Caenorhabditis elegans: one gene and its partners. The protein of the gene in region 1 purifies or fractionates together with the protein of each later gene. This does not show direct contact. Each region holds a gene or a part of one and is shown in the gene's direction. Other genes may lie near its edges. The genes, in order: dpy-11, bli-1, mtch-1 and nduc-2.

What was found.
Region 2: the proteins of dpy-11 (region 1) and bli-1 fractionate together in Caenorhabditis elegans (co-fractionation; one large-scale study listed by BioGRID). This does not show direct contact.
Region 3: the proteins of dpy-11 (region 1) and mtch-1 fractionate together in Caenorhabditis elegans (co-fractionation; one large-scale study listed by BioGRID). This does not show direct contact.
Region 4: the proteins of dpy-11 (region 1) and nduc-2 fractionate together in Caenorhabditis elegans (co-fractionation; one large-scale study listed by BioGRID). This does not show direct contact.

The regions. Positions count from the first base shown.
Region 1 is NC_003283.11:6,511,085-6,516,360, reverse strand, and holds dpy-11 (Thioredoxin-related transmembrane protein 1), read left to right. Parts: upstream 1-3,014; 5' UTR 3,015-3,015; coding exon 3,016-3,152; intron 3,153-3,478; coding exon 3,479-3,640; intron 3,641-3,694; coding exon 3,695-3,823; intron 3,824-3,871; coding exon 3,872-4,019; intron 4,020-4,064; coding exon 4,065-4,155; intron 4,156-4,205; coding exon 4,206-4,279; 3' UTR 4,280-4,776; downstream 4,777-5,276. Other genes in the region: mdh-1 (Malate dehydrogenase, cytoplasmic), read left to right, coding at 1-210, 260-676, 723-941; ubh-1 (Ubiquitin carboxyl-terminal hydrolase), read left to right, coding at 4,973-5,023, 5,094-5,210, 5,264-5,276.
Region 2 is NC_003280.10:10,707,302-10,712,656, forward strand, and holds bli-1 (Cuticle collagen bli-1), read left to right. Parts: upstream 1-1,658; 5' UTR 1,659-1,712; coding exon 1,713-1,856; intron 1,857-1,902; coding exon 1,903-2,176; intron 2,177-2,221; coding exon 2,222-4,344; intron 4,345-4,393; coding exon 4,394-4,499; intron 4,500-4,546; coding exon 4,547-4,746; 3' UTR 4,747-4,848; downstream 4,849-5,355. Other genes in the region: dph-2 (2-(3-amino-3-carboxypropyl)histidine synthase subunit 2), read right to left, coding at 4,849-5,018; col-80 (Putative cuticle collagen 80), read left to right, coding at 1-58, 106-921.
Region 3 is NC_003280.10:7,371,586-7,376,679, reverse strand, and holds mtch-1 (Mitochondrial carrier), read left to right. Parts: upstream 1-2,513; coding exon 2,514-2,563; intron 2,564-2,608; coding exon 2,609-2,784; intron 2,785-2,828; coding exon 2,829-2,935; intron 2,936-2,989; coding exon 2,990-3,152; intron 3,153-3,198; coding exon 3,199-3,552; intron 3,553-3,599; coding exon 3,600-3,778; 3' UTR 3,779-4,065; downstream 4,066-5,094. Other genes in the region: F43E2.1 (Poly(A) RNA polymerase mitochondrial-like central palm domain-containing protein), read right to left, coding at 1-74, 121-268, 319-476, 526-621, 669-893, 944-1,149, 1,225-1,296, 1,344-1,400; rpb-4 (RNA polymerase Rpb4/RPC9 core domain-containing protein), read right to left, coding at 1,605-1,853, 1,926-2,035, 2,099-2,174.
Region 4 is NC_003281.10:2,784,429-2,789,309, forward strand, and holds nduc-2 (NADH dehydrogenase [ubiquinone] 1 subunit C2), read left to right. Parts: upstream 1-2,423; 5' UTR 2,424-2,433; coding exon 2,434-2,779; intron 2,780-3,461; coding exon 3,462-3,535; 3' UTR 3,536-3,600; downstream 3,601-4,881. Other genes in the region: Y71H2AM.20 (Serine/threonine-protein phosphatase 2A activator), read right to left, coding at 719-1,061, 1,107-1,196, 1,263-1,388, 1,439-1,516; cox-6B (Cytochrome oxidase c subunit VIb), read left to right, coding at 1,776-1,832, 1,880-1,999, 2,063-2,251; tbcc-1 (C-CAP/cofactor C-like domain-containing protein), read left to right, coding at 4,017-4,221, 4,279-4,403.

The DNA.
Region 1 (5,276 bases):
GAGCTCCAGGATTGTGCTCTTCCAACCCTTTTCAGCGTTGTTGCTGTCACTGATGAAAAGTCGGCCTTCACCGGTATCGACTACGCTTTCTTGGTCGGAGCCATGCCAAGACGCGAGGGAATGGAGCGCAAAGATCTTCTTGCTGCCAACGTCAAGATCTTCAAGTCACAAGGAAAGGCTCTTGCTGAGTATGCCAAGCCAACCACCAAGGTGAGATCAGAATTCACAGTTAAACTTTCAATATTTCCATTACTTTCAGGTTATCGTTGTTGGAAACCCAGCCAACACCAATGCATTCATTGCTGCCAAGTACGCCGCCGGAAAGATCCCAGCCAAGAACTTCTCTGCCATGACCAGATTGGACCATAACCGTGCTCTTGCTCAACTCGCCCTTAAAACCGGAACAACCATCGGAAATGTCAAGAACGTTATCATCTGGGGAAATCACTCTGGAACTCAATTCCCAGATGTCACCCACGCTACCGTTAACAAGAACGGAACTGAGACCGACGCTTACGCCGCTGTCGGAGACAACGCTTTCCTTCAAGGACCATTCATCGCCACTGTCCAAAAGCGTGGAGGAGTCATCATTGAGAAGAGAAAGCTCTCGTCTGCAATGTCTGCCGCTAAGGCCGCTTGTGATCACATCCACGACTGGCATTTCGGAACCAAGGCTGTAAGTTTAATTATTTTAAAACTTGAATGAAGATTTTATTTTCCAGGGGCAATTCGTCTCCATGGCTGTCCCATCCGATGGTTCATACGGAATCCCACAAGGACTCATTTTCTCATTCCCAGTTACCATCGAGGGTGGCGAATGGAAGATTGTTCAAGGTCTTAGCTTCGACGATTTTGCCAAGGGAAAGATCGCTGCTACCACCAAGGAACTCGAGGAGGAGAGAGATGATGCTCTAAAGGCTTGCGATGATGCCAACATCTAAATTTTCCCCATAAATTATAACGATTTCCCAACCGCTCCCTTAAACTTAAAATGTAAAAAAAGAAGTAGGCCGTCTTGTCGTTTTTGTAAATGTATTATGTATTCAGTTATTGAACAATGAATTTATTGCATCTTCGGATCGAATTGTTTCAATCTATCTTTCGAAATAACTTGTGACTCGTTTCTGATTTCGTATATCTGTTTATTTCTGGAAGCTAGCAATCAATCTGCCAACGTGGAGGATATGGGTTTGCAAGAATAAAGAAGAAGACAAATCATCTGTACAGAAAGCAGGTTCTAGGCGAGAGAATCGCGAGAAGTAGCGAAATGAGGGTACGAGGAAGAGGCGGTGTGTTGACCATTCATTCCAGCAATCCTTATTCCTTCCGTGTTGGATAACGACCTGTCCCCAGGCGTTTCTATGGCTTTTTCCTCCCATTTTGATCGTTGAAACAGAGATGTTTGCTTTTTTAGAATTAAATTTATGCAACTTTTTAGACTGTGCACTTAAATAGAAGATCTAGAAATAATTAAACGAATTTTAAATGCATAGTCGCAGTAGTAATAGTAAATTGACTAAAGAAAATCATTTTTTAATTTTTAAACAATTTTTAATGAAAGTTTATCTCTGAATCTTTTGAATATCCCTTGTGTAAATTTGTACTTGACCAATTGTTCCAAATTTGTAAATATCAGTTTTTGCAGAAGCAACTACTTTTCGTTGAAAAAATTCACTTTTAAAATAGTGAGACTAGGTGAAAATGTTGTGAATTTTGGCATTTATAGCTACCACGATCGTGGCGAGACCCACTCAGATTAACAGCGTGTGCCTTTAAGTGACTTTTGACTTTTTCCCTAAATTACGATATTAAAAAACTTCCCATGCTTTTTTTTTCATTTTTTAAAATCAAAATTTGCCACAATAGTAGGATTGGAATTTATTCCATGTTTGAGGCTTCTCTAAAAACAAATTTCTAAATAATTTAGAGTTTTGTTTTAATCTTTTCTTTCTCCTATTTCACTTCTTAAATCTCATTTTCTTATCTTGGCAAAGTAACCTAATAGTCAAATCGATTGGCTTGTTGATCTTCACCATAATTTGACCCAAATCAGCTCGCCGCGTCGGTTTTTTTTAATTGACCGATTAGTCGCTATCACAGACGCTATTCATTAATAAACGTCAGCAGGAAGACCTAGTAATCTAGTTATCCACTTCACAACTCGATCAATAATTGCGGATCGGCGTGTTTCAACGAATACGGGAAGACAAGAGAGAGATAAGTTGTTTTTAGTGTGTGTGTATGGGTGAGTGTACGACAGTACCTACATACTGGAGGGGGAATATCCTTGACCCTTTGAGCGCGGACGATGCGACTTCCACCTTCTTTTTAATACATGCTCTGGATACAAGATATCTACCCATTTTTGTTTCTTTTTCTTTGTAGAAATTAATTATTGATCTGTAACTGTGAGGGCAGCAAAAATATTATAAGCCGATTATTTTTTCGCAATTCCAAAATGGACAATATGACTTGCATAATTTGATTACTGAAAAAAAGTGGGCCTTTATAATTTCGACATGAGCATTAACGCTCATATTTTCTGTTAGACAAACAATCTGTGGGTATTTGGTATTTGCAAATAAATATATTTGCATTGGCATTACAGAATCATACTATTTCCCCGCTATTCTGCAAGTTGTGTACAGGCTCAGTTGGTCTACTCTTGATGTTTTGATAGTTGTCTCTTTTTGGTTTTTTTCCTGTAGAAGATGGCTAGTAATACGTGGCTTAAGAACAAGATGAAACCGGTAGCCTTCTTTTTTCTCTTTTCGAACTGCAAAACGAACTGCGGCGACGGCGATAATGTGTGTGCGTGTCTGCCGACCGTACACCCCGCCGCCGAGATATATCCCTTCACTCCGACCGACGTCTTCCTCTTGTGTCTTCTCTTCACACCATAGGCGCTGCTTTTCGTTTTCAATCTTCCGCTTTCTATGTTTCTCTACATTCCTTCAATTCTTCATCATCCTTCCTGGTCACTCTATGACATCTATAAAACAAGTCAATTCCAGAATGCTGCTCCGATTGCTCGCCGTGCTCGGACTTTTCGCCGTTGGAGTCTCGGGGGGACCTACCAGATCTTCCAAGCTCGTCTTTCTCAATGAGGAAAACTGGACAGATCTTATGAAGGGAGAGTGGATGATTGAATTGTAAGTTGTTTCATTGAAAGCTCCAATTTGGAACAATGTATATAGTTTGTACTTGGTAGAATTAACTACTAAGGTTCTCAAGCATACACTTTAAAAACATTTTAATTAGTTACAAAACTACAAAATTGATAACTGATAAATTTTTAAAAATCCGCCGAGATGAAAATCTCAATTAAATTCCATCTTACTAGTACCTATGATATGAAAAGATATAGAGTAGAATCTTTTCATAATTTGAATTCACTGTTGGTTATTAGAATCTTTCTAAATAGCTATAGAAGAGTTAGGTCTAGATCATTTGAAAAAAATAACTTTTAAAATTCCAGCCATGCTCCATGGTGCCCAGCTTGCAAGGATCTTCAAAAAGCATGGAACGCATTCGCCGACTGGTCTGATGATCTTGGAATCAAGGTTGGAGAAGTCGATGTTACCGTCAATCCAGGACTTTCCGGTAGATTCCTTGTCACAGCTCTCCCAACAATTTATCAGTGAGTTTTTGAAAGCTATTTATTTCTACAAAAATCGAACGTTTTTTTTTTCAGCGTCAAGGATGGTGTCTTCCGTCAATATTCTGGAGCTCGTGACAAGAATGACTTCATTTCATTCGTCGAGGATAAGAAATACCGTGTGATCGACCCAGTTCCAGACTACAAGCATCCAAACTCTAAGCAGTACGCTTTTTTGTGGCACAGCAAAAATAATATTATAATTTTTTTCAGAATGGCCGTCGTTGCCGTCTTCTTCAAACTTTCGATGTCGGTTCGTGACTTGCACAACCATCTCGTCGAAGATAAGGGAATCCCATCATGGGCCAGCTACGGACTCTTCGCCGGAGTTACTCTTGCTCTCGGATGTGTTCTTGGATTCGTGAGTTTTTTAAATAGAAATTTCTGTAAACATCGTGATTTCCAGTTCATCGTTATCATCATCGACCAAGTATTCCCTACTGGACCAAGAAAAAGCCAACAAGCCAAGAAAACCGAGAAGAAAGACGCAAAGAAAGGTACTTTAAAATATTCGGATTCTGATTTCTAAAAATTTATTTATTTTCAGATTCTGGAACTGAATCTCCGACAAAGAAAAATGGAAATAACAATAATGGCAAAGAAACGAAGAAGACCAAGTAAATTCTATGCAACTTCCAAAAACCCCAATTGTTTTACCTTTTGTGCATCTTGTTATTTTATTTCAAATTATAATTTAAAAACTTCAAAATGTTTCATATTTATCCCAAACCAGCAGTCTCTGCCCCAAGTTTTTGAATTTTAAAAAATTTGTTAATTATAAGTATTGCCGTCCCCCAAGATATATATAAGTCACTTCTTCCTATGGGTTCCCGTCTTTTTTGTCTCTTTTGTTTTCACCAATGCTTCTCTCCTTCTGCGCATTTCATTTCGGACTCTGCAACGACGACACGTAATTAAAGCGACATCTCTTGCTGCGAGAGCCAGTCGGTGCTGGTCGAGTGTGTGTTCGCTTTGGCGTCGTCACGCCTTCTTTCCCTGCTGCTTTTCGCTCCTCATTCAATGCATTGATCCGTTTGTCCGTTTTTTTGTCCTCTGCTTTCTCTCAAATATTTCACTTTTTACGAAAAAAGTTGTTAATAAATCATAATTCAATTAAAACCTTTTTTGATAATTCAGAAATATATTAGCGCATTGGGTATTCACAATATTATGCTATTGATTGGCTTTTTTGAGCAGACCCGTAAACAACTATTGTTCGAGAAAAATTCTTTGCATTTATTTTTCATAGGAAGATTTTCATAAACAGATTTTATTACTGAATATTTTCTTCAGAACCAAAAAAACTGTCTAAATATGGCCGCTCCATGGACTCCGCTCGAATCGAATCCAAGTGTCATCAATCCGGTTCGTTGTCTCGGTGGCGTCGTCGCCAGTACACGCACACAATCTAATTTAATTCTTCCTCCGTTTTTAGATGATCGAAAAAATGGGAGTGAGTGGCGTGAAGACTGTCGATGTGTTGTTCTTTGATGACGAGTCAATCGGAAAACCTCAGCACGCAGTTATCCTATGCTTCCCGGAATACAAAAAGGTATTTTTTGTGACAAAATTTGAGATATTACGAGCATGACAAAGAAAATTTAGGTTGACGAGATTA
Region 2 (5,355 bases), on another chromosome or scaffold:
CTACACCGACATCAACTCCTTCGTTGATGAGGCTCATCGTGAGCTCGGAGCTTTCAGAGTAAGTACCATAAAAATACTTTGTTTCAAAAGCATTCATTTTTCTAGGGAGTTGCTAATGATGCCTGGAACTCGATGGTTAATCATGATGATTCTGCCCGTGTTGCCCGTAGCGTCTTCGTTCGTCGCCAAAAAAAACAATCCCAATGCAACTGCGGACCACAAGCCTCCAACTGCCCAGCCGGACCACCAGGACCACCAGGAGCTTCTGGAGACAGAGGACTTGACGGACAACCAGGACCAGCCGGAAAGCCAGGACAACCAGGAGTTGCTGGACCAGCTCACCACCAACAGCAAGAGTGCATCAAGTGCCCACAAGGAGCACCAGGACCAGCCGGAGCACCAGGAAACCCAGGACCACAAGGACCAAACGGAAACCCAGGAGCACCAGCCCACGGAGGAGGCCAAGGACCACCAGGACCACCAGGACCAGCTGGAGACGCTGGATCTCCAGGACAAGCCGGAGCCCCAGGAAACCCAGGACGCCCAGGACAATCTGGACAGCGTTCCCGCGGACTCCCAGGACCATCCGGACGTCCAGGACCACAAGGACCACCAGGAGCCCCAGGACAACCAGGAAGCGGAAGCACTCCAGGACCAGCCGGACCACCAGGACCACCAGGACCAAACGGACAACCAGGACACCCAGGACAAGACGGACAACCAGGAGCCCCAGGAAACGATGGAGCCCCAGGATCTGACGCCGCTTATTGTCCATGCCCAGCTCGCAGTGCCGCAGTTTTCCGTCACCGTAATGTTGCTGTCAACCGTCACCGTGCTGTTGCCAAGAAGCGCGTTGTCGCCAAGAAGCGTGTTGTCGCCAGAAAGCGCGTCGTTGCTGCCAGACGTCACGTTCAAGCATAAAGCAATATATCCTACCAAAGTAGAAATTCCTGATAGATTTTTGTCGAATAAACTCATTTTCATTATCTGTAATTTGATCTTGCAACACGAGCCCTTTCAAATAATCGTCGATTTCTTATTTCCCTTTCACTCATCACTTTCGCTAAGCAAATCGAACGCGGCGCATGGTTTTTTTTAGTATTCTGGTGTCAGCGGCGGCACGGACATTGATGAAAAGATAGGAGAAGATAATCAAGTCGTCGCATATCTGAATTATCGCTATCACCTCGACGCGTTCATAAAAACTCTGCGAATCGAGAACGGTAAGATGCAGGTCAAGAAAACCGCAGAAAAAGCAGTCCCGGTGTGGTCGAAGGAGGAGGAGGAATCATGAAAAAGCAACGAGTGGGATCTCGAGATAACCGCTATTTTATCCACAACGCTACTCCGTCGTTAGCCGCTCGTCTCTCAAATTCAGCGATCCTTATCCAGACATCCTTCTGACACCTTTCTGACATTCATATAGACTGCGGTGACTGGACCCTAAGATCTATAGACTAAAACCACCCAATCCGGTCTTGTAGGTTTCGTTTTAATGATTCAAGTAAAATCATCGTCCCGAATGATTATAGGCAGTCAGTTGAATGTCGTTAAGGTTATGATATAGCATGTCGTCGTCGTCATCGTTCCGTTTATAAGCATTACCTCGTTCCGTTTTCGCTTTGTTCTCAATCAGTACTCATTCTCCGCTTCTTCAGAGTCTTCCACACAACTCTCCGCAGTCTCGGAGAGTAGTGTGATCTAACCTCATCATGGTTAAGTCCTACACTTTGGCTGGACTAGCGGCGATTGCTTGTCTGCTGCTGGCAATAGGAGCTGTGATTTCTACAGTGTATATTTTAAACGATATTTCTGACTTTTACAGTGAAGCACAGGAAGAGTTGGTAGAATTCAAGGTGAGTTATTGTTCTAGACATAATTGAAATTATTTTAAAATTATAGGATATCGCAAACAATATCTGGGAAGAAATGGTTTTCGAATTGACACCAGAGGAAATGAGAGAAGCCGAAGACAACGATCGTGAGAAGAGATCCTATGAGCCTGAAGGCCCTTATCAATCTGAAACCACAACACCTTCAACAACCACTTCAACTGCTGCCACAACTACCGAAGCTGCAGAAGATGAATCTGGTTACGATTTTGTGAATGATAATGGACCACCATCTTCAAGACCTAGAAAACCAGAACCACCGACCATGCCCAGAACTATCCAAGGTACACATAAAAGTTTTAGTATAAATTTAAGGATAATTATTTCAGGTTTCCGTGCACCTCCTCCAGCTGCGACATCCACCTACAGACCACCACATGGATCAAACTATGACAATTACGGTAGAGAGCCGGCGTCTTCTAGAAGACCGTATCCACCTCAACAGCCTCCCAGTACATCAGCTCCGCACAGCAGTCCGAATAACAGAACATCATTGTACAATCCACAGCCACCTCCAAAAACTGGATATCCAACAAATCCTCGTGTACCGTACAATCCACCTCAGCCAAACTATACTCGGCAACCAACGTATCCTGAAGACAACCGCGCGCCATATAAGCCAACAAGATCACCAAACACTCCACCACCTCGTCAACCTTCTGGCGGATACGATTCAGATGGGCAGACTCCACCGTCATCGCCTAGAATTTACAATACTCGTCGTCCGAACAATCATGGTCCAGGGTATCCAGAGGATCAAGTACCAACAGCGCCACCAGTTCCAGGACAACAAAGAGTTCCACCGACTCAAACTCGAAATCCACCAAATCCAACTAATACCCGTCAACCATCGAGACCAGTGCCTCCAACATCAGATGGACATATTGAGGCAACCACTCCGTATAATCCATCTGCTCAATATCCCACAGGAAAAAGGGGTTCACACCCTGGATTTGGACCTCAGAGACCTCGTCCAGGAACTAGACCAAGAGGCAATCCATGTGATCAATGTTCTGCTCAGCCGAATCATTGCCCATCAGGACCTCCAGGACCTCGTGGTAGACCAGGGCCTCCAGGATTCCCAGGACAAGATGGGCCACGTGGGCTTCGAGGTCTCAATGGTGGTTATTCTGGTGTTCAACCATCTTCTTATGATCCAGTAATTGGCTGTGTACAGTGCCCAATTGGACCACCTGGAGAACGCGGACCAGACGGTACACCAGGAGTGCCAGGAGAAGATGGTATTGATGGCGAGCAAGGAGTGAACGGACAAGATGGTCAACCAGGAGCACCAGGGGCACCTGGATATCATGGAATGAATGGTTCTCCGGGAACACCTGGAAAGCCTGGACTACCTGGAAGAAACGGCCAATCATGCAAGTCAATTCCAGGACCTCCAGGTCAGCCAGGAGTAATGGGTGTACCAGGAAGAGACGGAGATCCTGGAACTGATGGTGAGCATGGACAAGACGGAAGCCCAGGAATTCAAGGCCCGCCAGGAAGAGACGGAACATCAGGGCCAGATGGCCAACCAGGAGTGTCTGCTCCGGGAGCACCAGGAACAGACGGCGGTTATTGTCCATGTCCAAAGCGATCTTCGAAGTTTGATTTTAATGATGCATACAATGATGATGAGAAGAGAGGCCTAGAGGAACATAGACCAAGAGGATACGATTCAGAACGCGCCGAAGAGCCAAGACCAAGACAGACTGTTCGTACTAATACCTATGATGAAAATTCTGGAGCCGAACATCAAAGAAGACCAAACTACGAACCTTCAGCAGAAGTTGCTCCACCACGACAGGATCGTTATGAAGACGAAGAGAGAGTTAGAGAACCACCACCAAAGAGACCGCCACCACCACACCGACAAACTCCACACGAGTTGTACCCAGAAGAGCAACCATATGTCAGAAGACCACCACCACCACAAAACAGAGGAAATTATGAAGTTGAAAGATCAAGAGAATATGTGCCAGAAGCTCCAAGACCAAGGCAAGGTTATGAACATTCATCTGGATATGGAGGTGATGACAGGAAAGAGCAGCCAAAATATATGGAAAGTCGACCAGTTGATGAGCCAAGATACGAAACTGATGCTCCATCAAGAAGTCGCCCGCTGAAGAAGGTTGAGATCATCAGACACCCAGAAAGAGGATACGATCGTCGTCAGCCATCTTATGAGGATTCGAAGCCAAGACAAGAGGAGCCAAGACGATATGAAACGGAAGCTGAGCCACGCTATGAAGAAGTTCCACGGAAAGAGACACATCCTCCAGGATTTGGAAGACCAAAATCTGAGGAAAATCCAAGGGAAACAGGAAGAACTTACTCAGAAGAAGCAATGCCACCTGTGCAACAAACTGAGAAATATAATGGAGATAAAAGAAAGAAGAATCAGCCAGAGTATGAGGATATTTCAAAACCAGAAGAGGATAAAGAAAGAGCAATGGTAAGTGATATTGTGATGATTATTTCTATAAAAGAACTATAAATTGCAGGAAAAACACCACAAGAAGCCTAATAAGTTCCAAGAAAAACAATGGGAAGAGCATAGAAAGAGCCAGGAACTCAGGAATTCGAGAGAGCATGGAGGACAAGTTCCAGGTAGAATTGTTATGCGGAAATTATCATTAAATTAAATTCAATTGCAGTTGAAACTTCCGTACCAATGCAACAAGTAAAACCTGAATCCTCTGCAGAAGAAAAGCCAGTTCCACCTGTACATGACAACTTCCAGTCATCCGAGAAAAGAGCTTTTTCCAACGAAAACCCACTACCATCAGAACAAATTCCATACAGAAGGAGAAATCGCTTTTACAGGAACCACTATTATGAGAAGTTTCTAGTTTAATAACTAAAAAAAACTTCTAGTCTAACTTATTGTTGATTTTTTATTTATTTTCACCCCTTCCCCCACTTGCCATAATAATGAAAGAATGTTAATAAATCGTACCTTTCATGTTGAATTGTTTTATTAATTGGATTGAAATGCGACACTGTACTACAACTTGGATACGAGAGAAGCCAAATCGGAAGAAGCGGAGAGTTGGGAAAACCGCAGAAGATAAGGTCGGTGGGCTGATTGTTGCGAAGACATGAAGGGATTTCCCGGCCGAGGTATATCTGGAAAGATGGGAATTAAAATTAAATTAGGGCTAGGCATTTTTCAGTTTTTCTCGGGACCAAAATAATTAATTTTTCGATTTTCAGTTTTCCAGAATATCAACAAAAAAGGAAATTTTAGTTTTTCAAGTGCTCAAAAATCCGAAAATCCAAAATTTTTAAAACCATAGCATGAATATTGAATCTCCTATCAATAATGTTATTACGGCATTTTTTAAATAAAAATTTGGTTATTTAGAAAATCGAAAATTTCCTTGGTCGGTTAAAATCTTTTCCCGATTTTTTGTCTTTTCGCTCGGAAAACCACACAATATTTTTTTGAGTATTTTGAAAAGTT
Region 3 (5,094 bases), on another chromosome or scaffold:
AAGCATTCCGCGCACTTCTTCCTGGATTTCGCACATCGTAGGCGTCGAGAATAGTGATCTGATAGTCTTGATCCCTGCAACAATTTTTTGTTATTTTGAGTTTGAAAAACGACGACTCACTTTTGAGATAGAGCTTCAATTTCACCATTTCGCATATTGAATCGATAATTCAGCAATACCACATGGTTGGAGTATTGACAAGCGAAAAGGTAGAGAAGCTGAACAACAGTGAGATCATTCGATGGTCTCTTTCTATGCATTGAAATAGCTGAAATAAATTAAATTCCAATTATTTCAATTGATCATTTTATCACGAACTGTTTTCATCAAGAGGAAATTTGAACTCGTGACGTAGTTCCGCCAAGTCCGACAATTTGAAATTGCCGCGATGAAAAAGATCACTGTGGGTCTGGTGAAGATTCGGTAGAATATCATACCATTGCAAAACATGAATGAGCAGAAGAATAATCGAGTATCTGAAAGAAATGGTGACTTTGCTCTGACTTTTTGCAGGTTAGAAATTACGAGTTGGGGTAAATTCGCAAATGATCTTCAGCTCTCCCTTCTGATTTCATCCATTTTTTCAAAAACATCACGAGAATTTTGAAGCGATCATCGAGTCTGAATAAATTAGTTCAATAAGTGTTATTTCCAGAAATTAATCTTACTGGCAGTAAGCATTGATATACTTTGCGGCGAGACTTGTTCGAGGATTATCATCGAATGTTGCACTCAAATCAACTGGCACATCGTTGATTTTGAATCGGATGATCGGAACCTTTGCCGTTTGCACAAACGAAATTCCGCTGACGACATTCTCTCCAAAAATGTTCTGCCCTTCCTTACTGTACATCATGTCTCGAAAAATGGCTTGAAGAATGATTACCGGCAGTCTGCAAAAGTTATTATAAATCGTCAAAAGTAAGGCTGCAAAACGACTTACTGTTTTTTATTTCCTGTTGCCGTCGCACACACACACAGATCAAGATCGCTGTCTTTCGAGGCACAGTGCGTCGGGAAACTTCCAAAAACGCTAAGTCCACGCAATTTGATTCCTTGCGAAGCGAGTTGTTTGGTAACTCCTTCGGATTTCAGGTATTTTCGAACCAACGCCACATAAAGCTTTCGTTCCTCCAACATTGATTGGCTCTGAAAATTTGGATTCAAATTATAAACATGCGAAATCTCTACAATTGGTAAAAATTAACCAGTTTCCCATCCTACCTGTCTTTGATTCATATAAAATATATTTATATCTTGTTCGAGCTGCTTGAGAGAAGGATGATCGCCTTGCAACTGAAAAATTCTAGTACATTAACAAATAATGTGAAAAATAAACTCACAATGCTCTTAAGGCCTTTGAGAAAATCTGGAGACGGTCTGCTCAATTTCTGCACCATCTGGTTCAATAGTGTGATTTTTTCAACAAAAAAAAACAATATGAAACCAGTATTCATTTTCGATTGAACAAATTATTTGAAAAACATTAATAAACATTTCCAAAATTTCATTTCATTGTATCAAATAACACATTATGAGAGATCTCATAGGACAATTACAGTAACTTGAGAATACAGATAAATATGGGATTAGTTTGCTTGTATTTATTGGAATGTTCTTTTGGATTGCAGATCCTTGAGAACTTCCTCTAGTTCAGACTCCTCGATTTTGTTTTCCAAAGAAGGAACTAGTGCTTTGGCTTCTTCGGCATTTTCAGGGCAGAGATTGGCAATCTGCGCAACTTCGAATTTGTGAAGATGCTTCTCGGAGAAAATCGCTCGAACTGCACGGATAGTTTCGCGATTTTTGAATCGAGACATGCGGCGAGCGTAGTTGAGAGTTTTGATGAAGACCTGAATTCGTTTAATATAAAAATGATATTATAAATCAATAAATTTAATCGACTGAAATAGTTTTGAGACTACCTCGCTCATCTCTTCAATTTCGTCTTTGCTTTCACTCGATTGACGACGATGCTCCAGAAGCAAGTAAACCTCAGCGGTCAGAAGAGCGTCGCATGTTGTTGTTTCGAATTCTGAAAATATACCGATTAGGAAAAATCACCAAATTCAAAAACTCAGTAAAAACAAAACAATACCTTTCGGAAATTTGCATTCAGCGGCATCTTCCTCGACTTGTCCATCTGACTTTTGATTTCCTCCACCGGAAGACATTTTCTAAAAATATTTTTTAGATCAGTGACAGTGAGATTTAAGTGAAAAACAATAAAACTGACGGAAATTTATTCAACTATCAGAAAATTGTTTTTAAGACAAAAAATTCTGCAATTCTTACACAGAAAGAGGAGTGAGATAACGTGCGCACACATTGCGTTTCAGTCTCCGCCCACTTTTTTGTGCGGCGAATGTTTATTGTTTATCCGCTCATTTTTTTTATCTTCGATTTTTCTCATTTAATGTCTGATTGCTATTTTTTATGAATATAACTATAGTTAACCCAAAATATTAGTTTGTATTTTCATTTGTTATTAAATTAATTATTTTCAGTGAATCATGGCTGAAGGAAATCAACAAGACGCTTTCCTTGGGCTTGCTCCAGAAGATGAGAGTTTAGTCTTATTGAAATAGATTTGAAATTCAGTTTTACAGGAGAAATTCGCCAAGAGTCTTATTGCCAAGCTCGCTTTGAGCTCGTTGTCGCTTCCTTTGACCGTGACACGTACCCTTATCCAGCTTGGTCATGAACCGTTCCCATTGTCTACAGGAAAGACTCTCGTCATTGCAGGAAGAAATGCGTATTTCCTTCCTAACTTCTTCAGCTATAGTAGGATTCACGAAAATAATCTTCGGTAATGATCATAAATTTAGTGAAGCAATTGGGAACTACTCGTGGATATATCACCCTTTGGACTGGAATCGACTCTGCTATCGCTGCTTTGGCTGTTCAGGGTATTGCTTCTCACCGCACTCAGCAGGTAAACAGTTTTCTCATTGAAAGTTCCTGAAAACCGTAAAAAATTATCTTACAGTACATCGACGAGTACTACCCCAATATTGGAGGACCTCTTTTAAATCAAGATAAAGAAGAGGATGAACTCACCGATGCTGAATCATTCCGAAGAGTTATTCGTAACGGATTCCGCGATTCTGTCATTCGTGTTGTTGCTGTTACTGCTGCACGACCATTTGCTGGTAAGTTAAATTATTTGCGATTAAACTGTATAATAATCTCTTCCAGTCTGCTTTGCTCGTCAAGTTGCTCAAGTTATTGGCAATGAAACTAAATACACTACCTGCGCCCAGGCTCTGGCCGTCATCGGAAAGCAGGAAGGTCCAGGAGGACTTTTCAGCGGACTTGCTCCTCAGATCGTTGGAGAGCTTCTCGTCATTTGGGGAGTTCATCTAATTACTCACGGAATTCAAAGAGCTATTCTCCGCATTGAATTTGGAGACACAAAGAATAAGGACGAAACGAAAGCCAAGGCTGCCAAGGATGTTCACAAGTTCATCCATACTGCTGTTCCATTCCTCGTCAACTCCTTCGGCTACCCATACAGTGTTGTATCCACTGTTATGGCTGTTGCTGGATCAGGTAAGCATGCGAATAACAGTATCTTTTAAAATAAAAGATTATTTCAGGACTAGCCGTTTCGTTCCTCCCATATTCACCATCCTTCAACAACTGGCATGGAGCATGGGACTACCTTCGCCCAATTGGTCTCAAGCGTGGAAACCGCCTGTTCCTTCGTGAACAAGTGGGAGCTGTCACTGTCGGCGTGGATCAACAACTTTACGCTAGCAACTCTTACTTTGCATAAGATTTTCGTCCCCAACTTCATCCAATCTTCGCTATAATGTATTTTTCGAGTTTTGCTAATCCCTTTTCATATACCAATCATCGGTTGTTTTAGACTCAAATCTCATAGAACTAAAATGTTCCTTTAATCCAAACCCGTACTTTAGATTTTCGATTTAAATTTCAACATGTGTCCCGTAATTTATTAGCTTTAGCGTTATCCTATGATGAAGTTAAATCTACAATTTAAAATTTTATAGTTTTTTTTTGTAAACAAACTACACTCAAAATAAAAAAAACTGCGTGGCGTGTACTGCAGAAAACCTCATATTTAGGCCCCGCCTTTTTCTCGTCCACTCACGGAGAAAAGGCAACAATATGGGGGCCAACCGAAAACATCAAGAGAACCCGTGATGGCAAAACGGGGTGATATCTCAACTCCTGTGAAGAGAGCCAACAACCCAACCGCAGTCGCCAGGGTACCCGATGATCCATCCAATCGGCCATGATAGTAGAATTCGACAACAACTTGTCTATATTGCACCGGGAAGCCCATAGCAACTGCTTCGAAACGAGCGACTTGATACGCTAAATGCGACTTCCGTTCTATTTCTGGACCCATTTCACCTTGACTATGAACTTCGAACGAGTGTTCGTTGGAAATCTCATATCGGCATTCTGAAAAATATATGATCTTGTATCATCATTTTACTAGATATGAAGCGCTGTTTTATGTTTCTACATAGTAGATCTTTGGCAAGAAGAATCCCACTGGCCATGTCCATTTTGAGACATAATCACAAACTGGAGGAAAATTCAAATTTTCTAAGTAAAAATGCTCTGGAAACTTCTCGAAAATTCAAAGGAGTTCTAGAATGTGCTAGAACTTTCTTGTTCTCAATTTCGCAACTGCAACATTGTGTTTTGTAATACGATAACACAGGGGTTTTGGAGATATGAAGCTTTGAAAACTCACTGATAGTAAATATGTCGCCTCTTTTCCCCTTCTTTGGTTTCTTCTTTTTGGCTACGTCTTGAAAGCAAAGTCCGATCACGTGAGCTTACTTTGAAATTTTTTGATGTTTTGAAATTGGGATGGGCATGAAGTTGTACATTTTGTGATCAGAAACAGTCTTAGCTTGAGCCAAATTTTTGCCTTTTCGTCCGTGAGTGGACGAGAAAAAGGCGGGGCCTAAATATGAGGTTTTCTGCAGTACACGCCACGCTGTTTTTTTATTTTGAGTGTAATCTTTTTCAAATTTTGTTTTCAGATAAGGCAACTGATTAGCTAGTGGGGTGAGGATGTAAAATCAAAATCTTCTTCGCTGTCTAAAAGTG
Region 4 (4,881 bases), on another chromosome or scaffold:
AACTAGATTTTTAGGTGATTTTCTAGTAAAATTTTATAATTTTTTTTCTGAAATTTTCACAGAAATATGCTTTTAAGCGGGGTTTTCTAGAAAAATTGTAGAAAAATTTTTTTTTGTCATTTTCGGTGCCTTTTTTAAGTTTCACAGGAAATTTAGTGAAAACTAGCTTTTTTTGAAGTTTTCCTACGAGGAAATGTTGTAGATTGAAGATTTTAAACGATTTTTCCCGGATTTTTAATAGGAAAATCGCGAAAATTGATGATTTTTAACGGAGAAATTGAGGATTTTTCAATGAAAAATTGTGAAAACTTATGATTTTTAAAGGAAAATTGCCAAAATTTATGATTTTTTGGCAAAAATCGCAAAAATGTGATGATTTTTTAATGAAAAATCGGGAAAATTGTTGATTTTTTATTTAAAAAAAATCGCAAAAATTTGTGATTTTTCGACAAAAATCGTGAAATTTGATGATTTTCAACGAAAAAACGGAAAAATGCATGATTTCGAATGAAAAATCCTTGAAAAATGAACGTTTTTTGAACAAATACTGTGAAAAAAGACATTTTAGATAGAATTTTCCGACAATCTGTGAAAATAAGTCGGTTTTTCTTCGGAAAACGACTTAATAATTGTGGTTTCTTGAGAATTTTTGAGTTTTTAATGGAAAATTCAGCTATTTTCCTGAATTTCAAGACTTCTAGTTGCTCCAACATATTACCAATAAGCTGAGCGCTTCCAAAAATGAACGGCGCGAACTGAAAATCGTCAATCGCATGAACTCCACGACTTCCAGCCGGCTCCATCTTGAATCTGGTCTGCAGATGACGGCACACTCTCAAATACTTGTTAAAAATGCGAAGAACGAGCACTTTGTCATCATTTTCTGTGAAAACGCCCAACTTTTGCAGGCAAAACAGCAAAATTAGGAAATTCGCCTCGTGTCCCGAGCCGTAATCGATTCGAGTGGCGTTTCCGAAGGATTCTGTGAAATATGGAACCAGTTCGACTAGAGCATCGTGGACGTTTTCCGGAAGAACGCTGGCTAGGAGATCTGGGGATTCCTGGAATTTTTAAAATCTTTTTAAATACATTTTTGAGCTAAAAACCTTGCAAAGCTTCTCATAAAACTTTCTGTAAGCTTTATTGCCAAATCTTTGCTCGGAAACATCTTCCAGAGGAATTTCCTCAGCCCATTTCTGAAAAAAATCCATTTTTTATTTTTTTAAATCTGGTTTTTCGTAATTTTCCGTAATTTCTCGAACCTCCAGCTTATCCAGCATGTCGATAAAGCTGATAACCAAGTCTGTGCATCTCATGTCTGCAGTTGTATGAACTCCAACTACAGAATCATTCAAACGATGCAAGAAAGCCAGGTACTCCTCGTAAGCCTGCAAATTTCCATTCATAATCCTTCAAATCGATAAAATTTCTGTTCTACCTTGGAAAAGTACCACGGATTCAGGTCGAACACATTTTTAATCATCTTTTCCGGCGGTTTATACGAGTTTTCAGCCATTTTTCTGGAAAAAAATCTATTTGTTTTGATTTCTAGAACTTTGTTATGTAAAAAAATAATGCAGCAAGTGCGCTCCAACGCAAAACCCCATTGTGGAGCGTTTTGTGCGTGAGAGGTGTATAGGAGTGTGTGGCTCGCGCAGCGTCTTTAGTGAAAAATTTTTATTGATTTTAAATATTGTTTAATTCGGTTTTCACGGATTTCTGAGCTTTGAAAATAACCGCCCGTGTTTAAATTTCAATTATATTCAATTTCAGTAATGCCTGTCGAAGTTGAGGTTCCCCCAACCACTTACGAGAGACTCCAGCAATACAAGGTGAATTTTTAGCGTTTTTCTTCATTTTTATCGATAAAAATTTACAGGAGAAGTTCTCCGATGCTCTCCGTCATCCAGACTCGCCAGACTGGTACAAGAAGGAGACCCACGAGTCTGTGAAGAAGGATCTTCTCTGGGCTGCTCCATACGACGCCAGATTCCCACAGGTTGGTAACTTTATTTAAAATTTATTATATATTAATTAATAATAAAAATGTACAAGTTTTCAGGTCCGTAAGCAACGTCAATGCTTCGCCTACTACGTCGATTTCCATCGTTGCAATGAGCTCATGGGACAGGACTACAAGCCGTGCAAGTTCTTCCAAAATGTCTACAAGGACTTCTGCCCCGGATTCTGGACCGAGAGATGGGACGAGCTTCTTTCCGAGGGACGTTTCCCAGCTAAATTCGATCGCTAAATGAGATTGTTCGATTGTATTCGAGAACAGGCGTTTTATTAGTGCTGATATTCGATAAAAAGTGTCACTTGTAAAATATTTTAAACACTTTTATTTCTTATGGCGTTATGAGACGCTTGAAATATCTCATTTTTTTTAAAAATCATATTTCCCCCAAATAAATAATTTTCTCAGTGGAAACCATGGCTGACTCAACTCGCGTCAGCGAGAAGGAAATCGAGCGCCGCGAGACCTTTATTCGCGCAGGACACAGAGCTCGTCACCTGGCCGATCCATTCACATGGAGCTACCCATTGAAGGGTGCCAGTGCAATGCTCGGAATCTCGCTGGCTTCGGTTTATTTGCAAAATCGATGGAACAAGAAGCCGTACTACTACGCAATTGTTCCACGGCTTTTGCTCATCGGAGCCGCCACCGCCGCCGGATACGCTGCCGGAGCACTTCGAGAGAGACACTATCAGACGAGAGACGCAGTCATCGAGCACTACATGAAGCTTCATCCAGAGGATTTCGACCATTTTAATGATCGTGAGTTTTGGAATTTGCTGAAAAATCGATTTTCAGATTTTACTGCAATTTCGAAAAAAAAACCCGGCTGAATTCGATCAAATTTGAAAGATTTCGGCTTTTTCCCCCCAGAGAATACCGTATTTTTCGCGATTTTCTGTGATAAATGCAGAAAATATATACATTTTCCCCGAAAAAAAAACGCTGAAAAGGAGAAGATTTGGCTAAAATGCTCGATTTCGGACCAATTTTTGCATTCAAACACCCAAATCAATGATTTTTATCTTAAAAATAGCAAAAATTGGCGTGAAAAACCGATTTTAGCCTAAAACACCATGGAAAACTACAAATTATCGGTTTTTTCGTATTTTTTAACAGTAAATTCGTCATTGTTCATGTAAAATACTATAAATCACCGATTTTTATGTTAAATTCAGAAAAAAAATAGTGAAAATGGCGCATTTCAGCTTAATCTTCTCCTCGAGGAGTACACGAGCTGCGTAAATCGACACATCACAGAAAACTTGAATTTTGGACTAGAATTCAGTTTTTTTTTCGCAATTCTAAGTAATTATTTTGGAAATTAGTGCGAAAAAAAGGGAATTCTGGCTAAAAAATTCAAAATTTCTGGGAAAACGGAAGATTTTCTAGTGAAAAATGCAAGAAAATCATCAAAAATTCATGGAATCTATTTATTTTTCAGGCAGTGGACGTTCATTCTCTCAAGTTCTTCTTCCATGGTATCCACGCAGAACCCAGTACACCAGATACGACTGAACAATTCTCTCGAAGTCTCTTTTTAGTTCATTATTGTAAATTAAATGAAGAATTATTGATTTTTTTCCCGGAAAATTCTCATTTTTTTCATTTTTCAGCATCCATCTGGTCTTTTGAGCCGTTTTGAATATAACTAATTAACCCAGAAGCAATTTTGGGGCAAAAATACTATACTATATCCTGGGTCTCGACGCGACAATTTGTGTTAAATGCGAAGAGGGATGCGCCTTTAAAAAGTACTGTAGTTTTAAACTTTTGTTCCGGTGGTTTTTATTGATTTTTTATAGTTTTTCTCACATTTTATGAGAATTTTTGCATATTTTTTTAACGAAACTAGAATAAAAACACATAAATTTCTATAAAATCTGAAAAAAAAACTATGAAAAATCGATCAAAAATTTAAAAAAAAACTCAAAATTGTCGTGGCGAGACCAGTTTTTTGCCACAAAAATCGCGCAAAAAAACGCCAGATTTCAGCATAATGGAAGCATCTTCGGAACAAATTTTATTGGATCGAAAAGATCGATTAATTGCAAAACTGGAACAAAGAAATGAAGAACGAAAAGTGCAAACTGAAGAATGTTTATCGAAATCTGAAGGAGCACAAATCGATAATTTAATGGCGGAAATTAAATCGGATTTGGAAGCGAAAAAATCCGTCGATTCGCAGAAAATCGACCGGCTTCGTAAGAAATTTCCCCGCCTCAAACAAACAAAATCGATAATTTTCTTCAATTTTTCAGAAGAATTTCTGGCGTTCTCGACGAGTAACCGGCAAACTAAAACAATTCAAAATTTCCTTGAAGACGTTCGAAAACAGAAGCTCGCGCTGAATTCTGGACCCAAATTCAAGGGTTTTTCGTTTTCAGTTCGGTGGTTTTTTTCACTGATTTTCTCAGGCAACTCAAATCTAATATGAAAATATTAAATAGCAATATTTTTGTAGTTGGGTGATATTTCAAGATAAAATCGCAATATTCCGAGACTTATTCGAAATCTTTTTAGATTGAGCAATCTTTTGAGAATAATTCGCAATATTTTGAGGTTGATTCGCAATATTTCTGAATCTGAAAATATTACGAAAAATTCGTAATATTTTGAGATGACATAGCAATCTTTTGAGATTGGTTCGCAATCTTTCTGAAATCTAAAAATATTACAAAAAAATGTGTAATATTCTAAGATTAATTTGCAATCTTTTTGCAGTCCATAAAGATTACAAAACACCATTTCCAAATTTCCATCGGCTTCACATGATCGTGATATATATACAACAATTATGATTACTGTTTCGTTCTAAATTCTCTTTTCTTCCAAATGATAAAAGACTTTTCAAAGTAAAAAAC